Linked DNA regions of Callithrix jacchus. The protein of the gene in region 3 purifies or fractionates together with the protein of the main gene of each other region. This does not show direct contact. Links are inferred from orthologs where the notes say so. Each region holds a gene or a part of one and is shown on either strand. Other genes may lie near its edges. The genes, in order: PPP6R2, PPP6R1, ANKRD52 and PPP6C.

What was found.
Region 1: the proteins of ANKRD52 (region 3) and PPP6R2 purify together in Homo sapiens (affinity purification with mass spectrometry; 3 studies listed by BioGRID and IntAct, counting the BioPlex papers as one, with this or other methods). This does not show direct contact. The link is inferred for Callithrix jacchus from reciprocal best matches to the Homo sapiens genes ANKRD52 and PPP6R2.
Region 2: the proteins of ANKRD52 (region 3) and PPP6R1 purify together in Homo sapiens (co-immunoprecipitation; 3 studies listed by BioGRID and IntAct, with this or other methods). This does not show direct contact. The link is inferred for Callithrix jacchus from reciprocal best matches to the Homo sapiens genes ANKRD52 and PPP6R1.
Region 4: the proteins of ANKRD52 (region 3) and PPP6C purify together in Homo sapiens (affinity purification with mass spectrometry; 6 studies listed by BioGRID and IntAct, with this or other methods). This does not show direct contact. The link is inferred for Callithrix jacchus from reciprocal best matches to the Homo sapiens genes ANKRD52 and PPP6C.

The regions. Positions count from the first base shown.
Region 1 is NC_133502.1:218,986,351-218,989,964, forward strand, and holds part of PPP6R2 (serine/threonine-protein phosphatase 6 regulatory subunit 2), read left to right. Parts: intron 1-2,235; coding exon 2,236-2,362; intron 2,363-3,532; coding exon 3,533-3,614. UniProt on the Homo sapiens protein: Regulatory subunit of protein phosphatase 6 (PP6). May function as a scaffolding PP6 subunit. Involved in the PP6-mediated dephosphorylation of NFKBIE opposing its degradation in response to TNF-alpha.
Region 2 is NC_133523.1:48,097,732-48,100,784, reverse strand, and holds the end of PPP6R1 (serine/threonine-protein phosphatase 6 regulatory subunit 1), read left to right. Parts: intron 1-62; coding exon 63-199; intron 200-292; coding exon 293-473; intron 474-606; coding exon 607-677; intron 678-784; coding exon 785-866; intron 867-1,379; coding exon 1,380-1,490; intron 1,491-1,574; coding exon 1,575-1,646; coding exon of another isoform or gene 1,647-1,650; intron 1,651-1,727; coding exon 1,728-1,731; 3' UTR 1,732-2,488; downstream 2,489-3,053. UniProt on the Homo sapiens protein: Regulatory subunit of protein phosphatase 6 (PP6). May function as a scaffolding PP6 subunit. Involved in the PP6-mediated dephosphorylation of NFKBIE opposing its degradation in response to TNF-alpha.
Region 3 is NC_133510.1:63,388,121-63,392,481, forward strand, and holds the start of ANKRD52 (serine/threonine-protein phosphatase 6 regulatory ankyrin repeat subunit C), read left to right. Parts: upstream 1-1,526; 5' UTR 1,527-1,641; coding exon 1,642-1,668; intron 1,669-1,992; coding exon 1,993-2,076; intron 2,077-2,538; coding exon 2,539-2,617; intron 2,618-2,814; coding exon 2,815-2,885; intron 2,886-3,959; coding exon 3,960-4,160; intron 4,161-4,361. UniProt on the Homo sapiens protein: Putative regulatory subunit of protein phosphatase 6 (PP6) that may be involved in the recognition of phosphoprotein substrates.
Region 4 is NC_133502.1:173,787,270-173,791,623, reverse strand, and holds the start of PPP6C (serine/threonine-protein phosphatase 6 catalytic subunit), read left to right. Parts: upstream 1-1,459; 5' UTR 1,460-1,554; coding exon 1,555-1,629; exon of another isoform or gene 1,630-1,847; intron 1,848-4,354.

The DNA.
Region 1 (3,614 bases), on a different chromosome or scaffold from region 3:
ACCACCTGCTGAGCATCATGCTGAGCACTTTGTTCCCAAGTGACTGGCCTCCACTGCACTTTCCCATTCATCAGGTGTCATTTCTACACCCACTGTGCACTGACACAGGCCCTAGGAGACAGAGAACTGAGACACAGCTCCCCCCCTTTATTGCTCCCAGTATGACAGTGGGGAGTGCAGTCTACATGTACCCTGTGCCTCCGGGCTCACAAGAAGGGGGGACGCACATGGGCCAGTGGATGGAGCCTCACAGATCAGGGACTTTTTCCCTGGGAGGCTGCATATGGCCAGAGACAGCCCCTGGAGTGAGACAGTGAGGAGGTCCAGTGTGGACACAAGCGTGGGACAATACGTGGGCAGGGGTGAGTGGAGCTTGTTTGGAGGAGCTCCTTTGCTGTGACCCCACACTGCCGTCAGTGCAGGTGCAGCTGTTGAAGCTCTGGCGAGGCATGACAGTGAATGGGCAGAGACAGACTAGATAGTATCAGAAGGGGGTTCAGGTGAAAGTTGAGTTTGTTTGAGGATATAGGTGCTGGAGACCCTTCTTGGACCCCAGGTGGAAATTTCAGGAAGTGTTTGAAACTGTTGCTCTGGATCACAGTGGGGGCTGGTCCTGCCCTCACAGATCATAGAAGACTGGGCACTGCCAGAGCCACTGAAGCACTTGAAACTCTGAGGAGGATGCCCATGAGGTGCAAATGGACAGACAGCCGAGTGGAGAGTCTGTGAGGGAGGCATTGGGATGGGGGGGTGCCTGGGAGACCAAAAGGAGCACATCAGTGCTCTCTGCCACTTTCCCTCCTGGCCTCCTGCTGGCCCTTGAACCCCATCCTTGAATTCAGATTCCCCACATGCCAGCAGGAACCTGAAGTCTGCAGGATGTTTCTGTCAGCTCCGTTCCATCATGAGCTGTGATGATGTCTAACTCTACCACGGTGGCCATAGTACCCTTATTTCCAAGTTCTGGGGAGAACATCATTCCGCCCCCAACACCGATAGCCTGTGCTTTTTTAAAGTAAAGGAAAAAGGCACAATAGAAAAATGACAAGAAATTGACTTAACTTTGGTAGTGAAATTGTTAGGACTTCCCCTCCCTCTCACCCTCCCTCCCTCCCTCCCTCTCGTACTACCTCATACATATTTGTTAGTTTATTAACCAAAAGTAGAGTTATAATGTTATTGTTTCTCTAGTTGGGCAACTGGAATATTGATTTTTTTTTTTTTTTTTGAGACAGAGTTTTGCTCTTGTTACCCAGGCTGGAGTGCAATGGCGCGATCTCGGCTCACCACAACCTCTGCCTCCTGGGTTCAGGCAATTCTCCTGCCTCAGCCTCCCGAGTAGCTGAGATTTTAGGCGCGTGCCACCATGCCCAGCTAATTTTTTGTATTTTTAGTAGAGACGGGGTTTCACCATGTTGACCAGGATGGTCTCGATCTCTTGACCTTGTGATCCACCCGCCTTGGCCTCCCAAAGTGATGGGATTACAGGCGTGAGCCACCACGCCCGGCCCCGATTATGTATTACTTTTACAACTGGAAAAAGTGTTTTAAAAATATCTCAGAAGACTTGCTTGAAAACACCACAGGGACCAGGCGTGGTCACTGACACCTGTAATCCCAGCACTTTGGGAGGCTGAGGCGGGTGGATCACCTGAGGTCAGGCGATCAAGACCAGCCTGGCCAATGTGGCGAAGCCCCGTCTCTACTAAAAATACAAAAATTAGCTGGGGGTAGTGTCAGGCATCTGTAATCGCAGCTACTCAGGAGGCTGAGGCAGGAGAATTGCTTGAACGCCGGAGCCAGAGGTTGCAGTGAGCCAAGATCGCACCACTGTACTTCAGCCTGGGCAACAGAGTGAGACTCTGGCTCAAGACCACCACCACACAGGAACAGTGAAGATACAGGGTTAGCAGTGGCGCTTTTCAAAGCAGGAGGACAGAGCAGCCCCCCGATGTGCTGGGGGCAACGGGCAGTGAGTTCTGTGTCACTTGCCCTGGCTTCATGTTCTTGGACGTCACAAGCAAGTGTTTTCCTGAAGGTCTTTAGTGCCTTTCTCTTCTGCCTGTACCAGTCACCAGATCGTGTGTGGAGGCCTTCAGTCGTTGCACTCCTCTAGGATTTCTTTTTGGGAAAGTTAAAAGAGCTTTTTCTGGAAGACGATGATGCGCTGAGTTGCTGGTGAAGTTGGAACGGGCCCTGGTGTCCCCAGTCTCCATCTGCTTTCCTCACCCACAGGACAGAGGGCTTGGTGGACTCCTTTTCTCAGGGACTGGAAAGGTCGTACACTGTCAGCAGCAGCGTGCTACATGGCATCGAGCCTCGGCTGAAGGACTTCCACCAGCTCCTGCTCAACCCACCCAAGGTAAATGGCCATGGTGACTGCGAGCACCTTTGGAGGCATCGCGGGAGAGGATGATTTGCAGGGAGAGGAATCCACAGCTTGTCCCACAGGAAGCAGTGTGTGGAGTGAATGTGTTCTAAGATGGCCATTCCCACACCCCTACTTGAGAAGCACCCGGCAGATGCCAAAACACACGTTTTCAGGACTGCTCCCCTGCTCGATCTGCAAATGTTCATCTCTGCGTCTGCAAGGGAGGCCTGGGAGTTGTACATTTTACAGCCTCCTCAGGCAGCTGACCCTGAGGTCACCATAGGCCTAGCCTCCAAGTTGGGGGCATCTGGCTAAGGGATGCTCAGCTCCTGAGAGGGGACCAGGGGGTTTCAGGGGAGGCCCTTTGCCCCATTCAGCAGCACTGGTCGGTGCGTGGGTCCTGTTGAGGAGGGTGAAGCACACAAAGGCTCCTTCCAGCTCAAGACTGCCAGCCAGACTGCCCCCCCATCCCATCTCACCCTCCCCAGACACAGGCAGGCTGCCCCCACATTTTTTCTCACCTTCCCCAGACACAGCCCCACCACTGCTGCGTGGCACCCACTTGACCTACAGCTCAGTTCCTCTCACTTGCCACTTTGGTAAGATCCACCTGCCCCACTAGTAAGCTCCGTGGGGGCCGGGATTCTGTTTTGTCAGCCTGGAGCCTTCAGTGAAAAGAAGGTAGATGTGTTATGCTGAGTGTGGGGGATCAGAAAGACCTGAGGCCCATCCAAGGAGGCATTCTCATGTGTCCCCGAAGTGTGTTCACAGGACACCTGTTAACTTGGTGTTCTGAAGTCCTGTCCCTGGAGGGTGCCCCGTGGACATCCTCACCGAGGCATCGTGCCAGGGGTTCTGGCCTCTGACTGGTACTGCTGGCCCCATCTTGGACGTCTCACCCACCAAGGTGCACGGCTCTGTAGCCCTGCAGGCTCAGACTGGAGTGCCCATGAGCATTCTAGGAGCGCTCTGTGAAGCCCTGAGGGGAACAGCCGGCCCTTCACCCCATTGATCCCTTCATTTCTTCTGGCAGACAGCCCTCCCTCAGGAACCCCCACCACATACCTCACTCACCTGGAGTGGTGGGCATGAGCCTAGAGAGTCCACCAGTGGCCTCACTGCCCACGGGACCTAACTGGGTGGTGCTGTCTGTGTTTGCAGAAGAAGGCGATCCTGACCACCATCGGTGTGCTGGAGGAGCCCCTGGGGAATGCCCGCCTGCATGGCGCCCGCCTCATGGCAG
Region 2 (3,053 bases), on a different chromosome or scaffold from region 3:
ACCAGATGGTGGTTGGCTGGTCTGTCCCACACAGCTGACTGACAAGGTGGTTTCTGGGGCAGGAGTGGAGGCAGCACAGACAGTGAGGACGAAGAAGAGGAGGAGGAGGAGGAGGAGGAAGACGAGGAGGGCATTGGCTGTGCAGCCCGTGGAGGGGCCACCCTGCTGTCCTACCCCAGCCCTGGTCCTCAGCCTCCAGGTGAATGAACAGGCGGTGTGGTCAGGCATCCACAGGCTGTCGGCCTGCTGCTAAGCTCATCCTCTGCTGCCCACCCCCCCACCTCTACCCCAGGCCCCGGCTGGACCGCCACCTTTGACCCAGTGCCTACGGATGCCCTGACCAGCCCCCGAGTCTCCGGGGAGGAAGAGCTGCACACTGGGCCTCCAGCCCCACAGGGGCCCCTCATTGTGCCCCAGGGCTTCCCCACCCAGAGCCTGGCCAGCCCTCCAGCTCATGATGCCCTGCAGCTCAGGTGAGAACCAGACGGGACGGGCTGGATGGCGCTGGTATCCCGAGGCCAGGAGGTGGTCATGGCCTCCCAGTTCTCTTGTAGGCTTGAGCGCTGACCCTAGCTGCCCCCTTGGGCTGCCTCTCTCGCCTGCCAGGTCTCAGGACCCCACAAACCCCTCAGCACCTCAGGAAGCCATGGACGGCAGCAAAGTCGTGGAGCCCTCAGGTGAGCCCCTCTTTGCCCTGCCCACCTGTGGCCTTGGGCAGAGAGAGCAGCCTGGCCAGCTCTGAGCTTGCTGGGATGCTGCGGCTGAGACCTCTCATCCCCCACAGCCCCCTGCCAGGCCTTGGTCAGCGTCGGGGACCTCCAGGCCACCTTCCACGGGATCCGTTCTGCCCCCAACTCCTCGGACAGGTGAGCAATGAGGTGGGGCTTACTGTGGGGAGGGGCTGGTATCAGGAGAAGTCTTTTCTCCTCCTCAGTGAGGTGGGCTTGGGTTTGTCTTGTCCCTGAGCTGCTCCAGGTGACCCTTGCAGGACCCCCAGGCCCAGCCTCATGTCATGCCCCAGCCCCCTGCACTCTGCAGGCTGGTTCTTCTCTTAGTAGCCTGGGATGCTCAGGGCCCCCAGGGTTGGAAAAGGCTCCCTGGAGGTTGTGAAGGATTGGGAGGGTGAGAGCATGCAGGAGACCCCTTGGGGCTGTCCCAACCGGCCTCGAGCAACTCCTCCACAGGGACAGGAACATGAAGGGAGGTGCTTGTCCTCTTGCCCAGAGCTGTGCAGTCCCTCTGCACTGAGCTAGCTTCGTGCTCGGGAGGCCCCTTCTGGTGGGGCAAGTGGCGGACACCCAGTGAGCCAACTGAAATTGTCAGGGGTGTGAGGGTGTCAGCAGGTGACGCTGACAGTTGCACCTGCCTCTCACCCACAGTGCAACCAGAGACCCCTCTACCTCTGTCCCAGCCTCCGGGGCCCACCAGCCCCCACAGACCACAGATGGGGAGAAGAGCCCAGAGCCTTTGGGGCTTACCCAAAGCCAGAGGTGAGTACCAGGGCAGCGGGGCAGGGCAGGGCAGGGCTGGCGGGCAGGAAGTGACCTCTGCACATCCCCTCCCTCCCGTGACAGTGCCCAGGCCCTCACACCTCCTCCAGTGCCCAATGGCTCTGCCCCGGAAGGGCCTGCATCACCGGGCTCTCAGTGAGTGTGGCTGCAGCCTGGGGCTGGGCAGGTGGGGCTGGGCCTGCTGGACCCTCACACGACATCTCTCTCTGTTTGCAGGTAGCTGCCTGGTGTGGCAGCAGCTGCCAAATCATCCGTCCTCCCATGGATCTCCCAGGGTGGGGGCAGGGCGAGTCCCATGATGGCCCCCGTTGCCCTCATCACCTGACCCCCCCACATTCTCTCCTTTGGACCCCCAGGAGGCTGGTGCCAGGGAGACAGGCCCAACCCAACCCCATTTGCACTGAGAATAGAAGTTTTGGAGCATTGCCTCCTAGAATAAAGATAAAGAGAGTCAAATAGAGAGAATGGAGAGAGAGAAATGTCTATTATATATTATATAAAGAGAGAGAGGGAGGAGAGGGAGGAGAGGGAGAGAAGGTGAGAACACCGAGCTGGGCTGGCGGCCCGAAGCACAGCTTCCCGTCCTGTCCCAGTGGGGGCTGGTGGTAGGGGTCCAAGGTTGCCGCCCACGTGCCCAGCCATCCTACGCTCAGGCACAGATGGCCATGCCCACACCCGGCCTTTCAGCTCAGGTCCACCATGAGGGACAGCCCAAGTGAGGGTGGGGGTGCCAGAGGGTCCCGCGTGGGGGCCGTGCCTTTGCCCAGACCCTGCACTTTCAACCAGGCCAGCCCGGCTCTGGGGAGCAGGGGCCTCCCCGGCAACACCCCCAGGGTCCCTGAGGGTCTGGGGTCCCAGCCCTGTTGCCAAGTGGCCTTGTCCAAGCTCCTTCCTCCCAGGCTGGTGTGAGTGTGTGTGCGTTCGTGCCGAGCTTCTATTTCATATTGCAAATATAAATAAAGGAAGACAGTTTACGATTCTGCTGGTCAGACCGTACATTCTGGGATGCGGGGAGGGCAGCCTGTGTTATCCCTGTACCCCAGCGGTTGGGGTACTCCTAACCCAGTCTGCCCCCACACTGTGTCCTGCCAGAGGGAGCCCTGTGGCTACAGAGGCCACAGGCTGGGCCAGGCACTGGCTGTGATGGCTCCTGCCAGGCCTACCCCACCTGTGGGCAGGGCCGAGGGTGGAGGATGGAAGCTGCCATCGGGGGCTCAAATCCCTGCTCCTACCCCCCTTTGGTAACCAAGCCCAGCATTGAGGCCGGGCAGTGGTGCCCAGTATGTCTGAGTCTTTGAGCCGGAAGGTAGAAGTGTAGGCCGGTGCACAGCAAGTGGAACAGGGGAGCGGTGCCAGGAAGCCTCTGTCTCGGCTACACCGGACCATGTGGGCCGGGTCATGAGGACAGTGTCCTCACTGCGGTGGCAGCTGGTTTGGAGGTCACCTAGGGCTGGCTCAGCTAGCAGGGGAGGGTGCTTATTCCCTGCATTCTTCGGGCCCCTTCCTTGTGGCCCACTGAGGAAGTGTTTGTGGTGGAGCCCC
Region 3 (4,361 bases):
CTTCAAGCGATTCTCCCACCTCAGCCCCTGAGTAGCTGGGACGATAGGCACGTGCCACCATGCCCAGCTAGTTTTTCTGTATTTTTAGTAGAGATGGGGTTTCACTATGTTGGCCAGGCTGGTCTTGAATTCCTGACCCTGTGATCTGCCTGCCTGGGCCTCCCAAAGTGCTGAAATTACAGGCATGAGCCACTGTGCCTGGCCAACTTTTATTTTCAACACTGTAAAAACTAAAAAAAATTTAGGCCCGGCGTGTGTTTTACACCTGTAAGTACTGTAATCCCAGTATTTTGAGAGGCTGAAGCAGGCACATCACCTGAGATCAGGATTTCGAGACCAGCCTGAGCAACATGGAGAAACCCTGCTGTCTCTACTAAAAATACAAAATGAGCTGGGCGTGGTGGTGCATGCCTGTAATCCCAGCTACTCGGGAGGCTGAGACAGGATAATCACTTGAACCCGGGAGGAAGAGGTTGCAGTGAGACAAGATTGTGTCACTGCACTCCAGCCTGGGTGACAAGAGTAAAACTCCGTCTCAAAATAAAATAAAATAAAATAAAATGTATTTTTATTTTTTCCTCTCCCAGCAAGGGAGGCCTTTTATATATAAAGACTTGACAGGATGCCAGCATGCTATACTTCTTCCATTACATGTTCCTTTCAATGTATTGAGTTGTAAAACTCTGAGCAGGACTCTGGATCACCTTTTATAAATTGTACCAATTTTTCAATCTCCACTTTTCGTCTTCCTTTTTTTTTTTCTGTTTCTGGGCCGGGATGACCTCCATTCATTTCTTCTCTAACTGACGGCTCTCCGGCATCTCCATTGGAGGAGGGGAAACACCGCATGCTGTTCTAAGGAGAAATTGTTGAGTGTTTTCCACTTTAACCTTGCAATGGAGTCATTAAGGAGTTGGAAAATGCTCCTTCTGTTGATCTCGGCCGTCTCTTCCAGCTGCCAGTTGTCATGGCCTCTTTGTGGGTGTTTTCTGCAGTAGAATCCTCCTTGGGGTTTCTCTGCAGTTTGAGCACTTTGCTATTTCTTTTCTACCGAACTCACCCCTCCGCCAGTGGAGATACACGTCTTCCCTCCCTCTGGGGCTATTGCCATACCTAATTCTCAGTTCCCCACCTGCCAGTTCCCCCTAGTCTGTGGGGGATTTCGGGGTGTGGAATAGCTGACGGGAGGAGTTAGCTCGGCCGGGAGCAACGTGGGCTGGGTGAGATCTGGCCAGCCGTTCGGTCCTCAGCTTGGAAAGCATCGCGGGACCAAGGCCCAGGTTTCCGCTAGGGTCTTGTGGGGTAACCTCTTGGGCCGCCAGACTGGAGCGGAGAGCACTGCGCGGCCGGTTGCGGAAGCCGGGGAGCGGACGCGCGAGTTAGGGGGTGCGGGGGCTGCTGGGGCCGCCAGGGTGGGGCGGAGAGTGCTGCGGTCGGGGTCAGTTTGCGCGGGGAGCGCCGGGCCCAGAACCGCCGCCAGGGAGCGCTGCGGCCTCCCGCTCGCCCGCCCCCCGGTAGGCGGGGCCGCGCTCTCCCCGCAGCCGCCGCCGCAGCCGCCGCCTGGGCCGCTCCGTGTCCCCGGTGGAGCCGCCGCCGCCGCCGCCGCCGGGAGCTCGATGCGGACGGAGCCCGGGCCGGGCCATGGGGATCCTCAGCATCACGGACCAGGTCAGCCCTCCTGCCCTTCCTCGCTTCCTCCTTCCAAGGCTCGGCGTCGCCGCCACGCGAGCCCGGGGATGTGCGGCCTAGGTTGGGCCCGAGCCCGGGGCTCCCGCAGCTCCCGCCCCGCCCCATGCCGCGCTCCCCTCTACCGAGCCGGTGTCCTTGGGGACCTGGCAACCGGCGGAGGCACCGCGGGAGCCCGCTGCAGGCAGAATCCCCAGAACGGAGCCCCTCCACGGACGCCCCCCCACAAACCTGGGTGTTCCCCCACCCCCACCCCGGTTCCGCTCCGGCTCTAGCCCGCTCCCTGAATGCCGGTTCTCCCTGCAGCCGCCCCTGGTCCAGGCCATCTTTAGCCGAGATGTGGAGGAAGTGCGTTCCCTACTCTCGCAGAAGGAGAACATCAATGTGCTGGTGAGTTGGGAGCAGGGAGGATGGCGAGATCGGAATCCTGGCTCCCGTGTTCTGGACCCCTCCCCACCGGTGGGGCGGCTCCGTGTCTCCTCTGCTCAGAAGAGGCCGCAGTTCTTTCCATCCTGGAGTGAAAGCCTACTCTGCATTTGGGGATGGAGAGCAGGTCAGGCTTGGAGCCCAGATCACTTGGGCTGGGGATGCCCAGGAACGTTGTTCTCTTCTGAACCACCGGAGTCTGCAGCGCCCCCACCCCTCCTGGAAAAAGGAGCCGGCTTCTCAGCCCATTGGCCCTGACTCCACCCTCCCTAGGTGCTTGCCTTTGACTCCCAGTACCGGGACTTAAGATGCTGCAGAAACTATGGGAAGAGGTTGTGGGGAAGGGCCTGGAGCTCTGAGGCTTGGGCTGGGGTCCTTGATAGCCCCACATCCCCCGCCCACAGTCCCTCTTTTCTGCCTTCCCAGGACCAAGAGAGGCGAACTCCATTGCATGCTGCTGCCTACGTAGGCGATGTCCCCATCCTCCAGTTGCTACTGATGTCAGGTGAAAGTGGGGAGCTGGAAGGTGTGGCACATAGGGAGGGAAGGAAGGGGAGGAGTCTTTTTTGATGTTCAAGGATTGGTCTTCCTTGCTCAGTCCAGGCGAGACTCCAGCTCCATTCAGATTTTCTGGCCTGATTACTGGCTTTCTTCCCACCCCCTCCACCTCTTCCATCAATACAGGAAATTATATCCCCACAGGTGCTAATGTCAACGCTAAGGACACACTGTGGCTGACCCCTCTTCATCGTGCTGCTGCCTCCCGAAATGAGGTATGCACCCCCACCTTCTTTCACCCTTTCAAAAAGGATGAGTTGCTTAGAGGTGGAGGTTAAGGGTTAAGGAGCCTCAGTCCTCAGCCCTACAAGCTGTTCTACCCCAGGTAGGGAGGAGATCAAATCTTGGCCCCTCCCTCCTACCCCTGGAACTGGCTGGTAAGGGGGCTGAGTGCTGCCAGCTGATGTGACTCAGGGAGAGCTTAACACTGGGCTGGCAGACTGCGGGGGCCCTGCTGCCAGGCCTGAGTGACTCATCCCTCCCTGGGGGGCCACCTTGAGTCTGATCCCCCTCTGGGCACTGAGATTTCTTTCCTTGTGATGGGGGATGGGTATAATAATCTGTTGCATCCTTGGCCCTCAAGCAACTTGAAAGCTGACAGCGACAGCACAGGGGCCAAACATATTTCATCAGTTGGGTCCTTAATCCTATTCCCATCAGCCCTGAAGAGAGGGAAAGGGGGACCTCCTCCTCAGTTCATCACTTCCCTGGCTCCAGCCACTAGGGGGAGGGGCCGAGGCCAGTGAGAATGAGATGGGTAGTGGTTAGGAGGGGCATTTTACCCTGGGTTTTGCAAAGGAACCGGTATCTGTTTGCTTACTGAGATACTGAAAATAATTTTAGTGCCTATGAGGAGGCTACATGTTCAGGGTAAGACGTATCAAGAGCATTTAGTTTTCCTAGAAGTAGTGGGGGGGTTGGGATATGTGGCTCTGCATTTGTGGATTTGTTTGGGAATGGATGTATGTGTGAGTGAAGAATTTTATTTTGCAAAAAAAGAACATGTTTCAGTGTGAGTGAAGATTTTCAGGGTCTAGGTTAACAAGTCAGGTGGCTTGAAGAGCAAAGGGTCCCTGTTTCCTTAGCAAGGTAAGGAAAAGTTTAAGCTCTAAGAAGATCCAGAAGATGGGAAGTAGGTATTGAGAGTCTAGGTATGTTGGAAAAATGAGAAGAGACTCTGTGCTGGGGAAAACAGGGCCATATATGCTATGCTGACCTATTCCTCCTTCTATTTCCTGTTGTTTTGCCTCCTGCTCCCACTCTCTCTTTTGTCCCCTGCCCCTCAACAGAAGGTGCTGGGGCTGCTGCTGGCACATTCAGCAGATGTGAATGCCCGGGACAAGCTGTGGCAGACACCGCTACATGTGGCTGCTGCCAACCGGGCCACCAAGTGTGCTGAGGCTCTGGCACCCCTGTTGAGCAGCCTCAACGTGGCTGACAGGAGTGGACGCAGTGCTCTGCACCATGCAGTGCATAGTGGGCATCTTGAGGTGAGGACTGTTCCCACCTTACCTTCCCTTTTCTTACCTTCCTACTTACTTTCCCTGTTTCTGGGTCCTCATGCCTGCAGGAGAAGCAGCCCGGATGGTAATATAAACACTTGAGCTCACACACTAAATGAATGGTTAGACTAGATTAAAATTCTTAACTTGGAGTTCAGGAAGTTGATAAAACCTGGATTTTGTGTGGAA
Region 4 (4,354 bases), on a different chromosome or scaffold from region 3:
TTGAGCAACAAATATGTATTGCGCACCTGCTACAATTGGATGACATAACAGTCTCCTAACTGATCTCTTAGCTAGAGCTATTGCACCCCCACCCCAGTCCCATACAGCAGCTTCCTTTTACTAATTTTATTTTATTTATTTTTGAGGATCTCGCTCTGTCCCCCAAGCTGGAGTGCAGTGACACGATCTCAGCTCACTGCAACCTCCATTTCCTGGGCTCAAGCGATTCTTCTGCCTCAGCCTCCAGTGTAGCTGGGACCACAAGCACGCACTACTGCCCCCGGCTAAATTTGGTAGTTTTTGTAGCTACAGATAGGATAGAGATCTTTGTCTATTTTGTTCACTAAGTATTCCAAGCGCCTGCAGCTGTACCTGGTACATCTTTGTTGCTCAATAAAGAGCGGTTGAATAAACTACTGAAGGTATGCGGTACTGTTCTCCGTGCTGGAGTCACAGCAGAAAACTCCCTGCCTTCGTGGGATTCTCACTGGAAGTATGCTTAAGCTTAAGCCATTTTCCAATCTTGGCCCCACCATTTGTTCCCTGTGAGATTTGGGGTAAACTACTTAAAGCCTCCAAGTCTCACTTTCCTACCAATTGTTACAAAGATTAAATGGAAAAATAGAATTTGTATCGCATTTAGCATAAGAAATGTTTTTTTTTTTTGAGATGGAGTTTCGCTGTTGTTACCCAGACTGGAGAGCAATGGCATGATCTCGGCTCACCGCAACCTCCGCCTTCTGGGTTCAGGCAATTCTCCTGCCTCAGCCTCCCGAGTAGCTGGGACTACAGGCGCCACCACCATGCCCAGCTAATTTTTGTATTTTTAGTAGAGACGGGGTTTCACCTTGTTGCCCAGGATGGTCTCGATCTCTTGATGTCGTGATTTACCCGCCTCGGCCTCCCAAAGTGCTAGGATTATAGGCGTGAGCCACCGCGCCCGGCCAAGAAATGCTTTAATATTTCTTTATCTTCCTTTCAGGCTGGAGCCTGACATTTGTGCCACAGGCTTAAGCGAGGTTTTCACAGGCACTTGGAAAGATGCAAACAAGTTACTACGGCCAGGCTTACCCAGTTGTTAAGTGAAAGTGAGAGAGTGCTTAAAAGGGTTGGAAGGAGAAACGAGTGAGTGGCTAGGACGACCTACTCCGCCGTTTTGCCTCGGAAAAGCCTCGCCCGCTGCCGGGAGGTGAAAGTCTGGAGGAACTGAAGGGGAGGAAAAGAAAGGGGTGGCTGTCCACAACGGAAAACTACAAATCCCGGCAACACCCGCGGCAGGCGACTACGGGTCCCATCAGAATTCGCAGGCTGGACCGATGGGGGGGCCTCTTGGGGCCTGCAGCCGGGGTTCAGCCAGAGGGGGCGCCGGGCGTACCGAGGTAGCGGGGAGAAGCGGGTCGCGCTTTAACGGCGCTGCGCAGACGCCACTCACGGTCCGGACGTGACGTAGGAGAGTTCCGGCTTCGGCCTCCGCCGCTGCCGCCGCCGCCGCTGCTTTTACAGCCGCCGCCGCCGCCGACCCCGCCGCTGTCGCCGCGGCTTGTTATTCTCAAAATGGCGCCGCTAGACCTAGACAAGTATGTGGAGATAGCGCGGCTGTGCAAATACCTGCCAGAGAACGACCTGAAGGTGAGCCCTGCCGGGGCGGGAGCGCTGCTTACAGGCTCGCCCCTTCCGGCTGTGGGGCGCCCGCCGGCCCGCCCTTCCTCTCTTCGTGGGACCCCCGCCGGGTATCCCGTCTCTCCGCGGTGGAGGGCCCTCTCCGATGCCATGCGACCCGGCCCGACCCGGCGTCACGCCAATGGTTGGGGGAACCAAGTCCCCCAAATGATGTCCTAGTTGCCTCAGTGGGTATCCCAAGGGATTTCGCGGCCTCTACCCCAGGGTCGCCCCTTTTGGCCTTCGGGCTGCCCCAGGACCCGTAGCTGCAACAGCTTTGCTTAGCAGCTTTCCACCCCTTCCCGGGATCTCCGGCATTCACTGCCGAGCCCCCGCGGCAGTGCCCTCGGGATGGGATCGTCCCCGTTGGAGGTGACAGGAGCGCAGAGTGGCCGGCGTCTGACAGGAGTTGCCACAGGCTCTTGCAACGCGGCCCCAGTTTGTTTAGGTCTCTGAGGAAGGGGAAGGCGGTGGGTCCGAGTGGTTTGGTACTGACGAGAGCGAATGTCAGATCGTCCCTCTTCTCTGCCACTCCTCCACCTTCTCCAAATTGCCTTTTAGGACCGTGGGTTTTCTTCTGCTAATTCAGAGGTGAACCCGTTTCTGAGTATTTTGTTGAGCTTACTGAAGTGGAGAAAGTAGTTGGTTCTTAATAAATACAAATACTTTCCCCTTAACCCCTTCTTAACTCAAGATTTCGTTTTCTTGGTTTTCTAAAGAAGACGAGTTCCTCGTTGCCCTTGAGTCCAAGTAAATGTATGTATGGGTAAAGGAATGAGTTTGATATACTGCTTTTCTTTTCAACTTATTATTTATTTATTTATTTTATTTTTCTTTGAGACGGAGTCTCTGCCGCCCAGTCTGAAGTGCAGTGGCTTGATCTCAGCTCACTGAAGCCTCCGCCTCTTGGGTTCAAGCGATTCTCCTGCCTCAGCCTCCTGAGCAGCTGAGATTACAGGCACATGCCACCACGTCTGGCTCATTTTTGTATTTTTAGTAGAGATGGCGTTTCACCATGTTGGCCAGGCTGATCTTGAACTCCTGACCTCGTGATCTGCCCGCCTTGGCCTCCCAAAGTGCTGGTATTACAGATGTGAGCCACCGCTCCCTTCCATCATTATTTTTTATTGAAACAGTCTCACTCTGTCATCCAGGCTGGAGTGCAGTGGCGCGATCTTGGCTCACTGCACCTCTGCCTCCTGGGTTCGAGTGATTCTCCTGCCTCAGCCTCCCGAGTAGGTGGCTGACACCCGGCTGTTTTGTATTTTTAGTAGAGACGGGTTTTTGCCATGTTGGCCAGGCTAGTCTCGAACTCCTGACCTCAATTGGTCCGCCCACCTCAACTTCCCAAAGTGCTGGGATTACAGACGTGAGCCCCCGCACCCGTCCTAGGTATGCTGCTTTTTTGAAAAGTGTTTATGCATTTGGTGAAACCAGTGCTTATTAGGTTTCTAGCAGTGCTTATCAGCTTGTGCTAGTTATTTATCTTAGTGTATTCTTCAAGAAATATATTACTGTGGGTTTTGTTTGTTTCTTCTTTGGTATTGGAAGTTGATACTTAACATAAGTCAACAAGTATGCATAATGTTTGAGGCCACACATGCTGTTGTGAATGTAACTGAATTGTACTTATATGTTAATTTTATGAAGCATATTATAGGGGAGTCATTCTTGTGTATGCTCCCATTTTTAATAGGATAATTTAAAATAAGGATAGAGCCTTCATTAGTAGCAATGTAGCATACATACTCATCAGTCCTTCAGACATTTGTTTTGTGGCTTCTTTCTGCTATGCGTGTTTCTTTTTTCTTTTTTTTGGAATAAGAATACAACTAGCATTGGGATCCAATTCATGGAAAACTAACCAGACCTCTTAGTAGCATTATTAATCCTGTAGGTGAGGTTGACTATTGCATGTCAGTGAATTGATTTGGAATTTTTTCTTTTTATTTATCATGTGTAAAGCTTTTTTAAACTTTGTGTTTATGATAAATAAAATGTTTTTTTTTTTTTTATGATAACGTCTCAGGCATGGCATAATCCCAGCACTTTGGGAGGCCAAGGTGGGCGGATCATCTGAGGTCAGGAGTTCGAAACTAGCCTGATCGACATGGGAAACCCCATCTCTACTAAAAAATGCAAAAATTAGCCTGGCGTGGTGGTGAGTGCCTGTAATCCCAGCTACCTGGGAGGCTGAGGCAGGGTGAATTGCTTGAACCCAGGAGGTGGAGGTTGCAGTGACCCAAGATCAAGCCACTGCACTCCAGCCTGTGTGACAGAGGGAGACTCCATCTCACAAAAAAAAAAAGAATCTGTTGGACTTCTTTGGACCTCTTACTTTGATAAACATTAGATTTCCTTCTTACCTTAATGAAATATAGTTTTTAGACCATTTTATTTCCTATTGAACACAACTGCATTATACTTTGCTTCTATTTGTTTTTCTTTTTTTCTTTTCTTTTTTTTTTTTGAGATGGAATTTCGCTCTTGTTACCCAGGCTGGAGTGCAATGGCACGATCTGGGCTCACCGCAACCTCTGCCTCCTGGGTTCAGGCAATTCTGCCTCAGCCTCCTCAGTAGCTGGGATTGCAGGCACGCGCCACCATGCCCAGCTAATTTTTTGTATTTTTTTTTTTTTTTTTTTTTTTGAGACGGAGTTTCGCTCTTGTTACCCAGGCTGGAGTGCAATGGCGC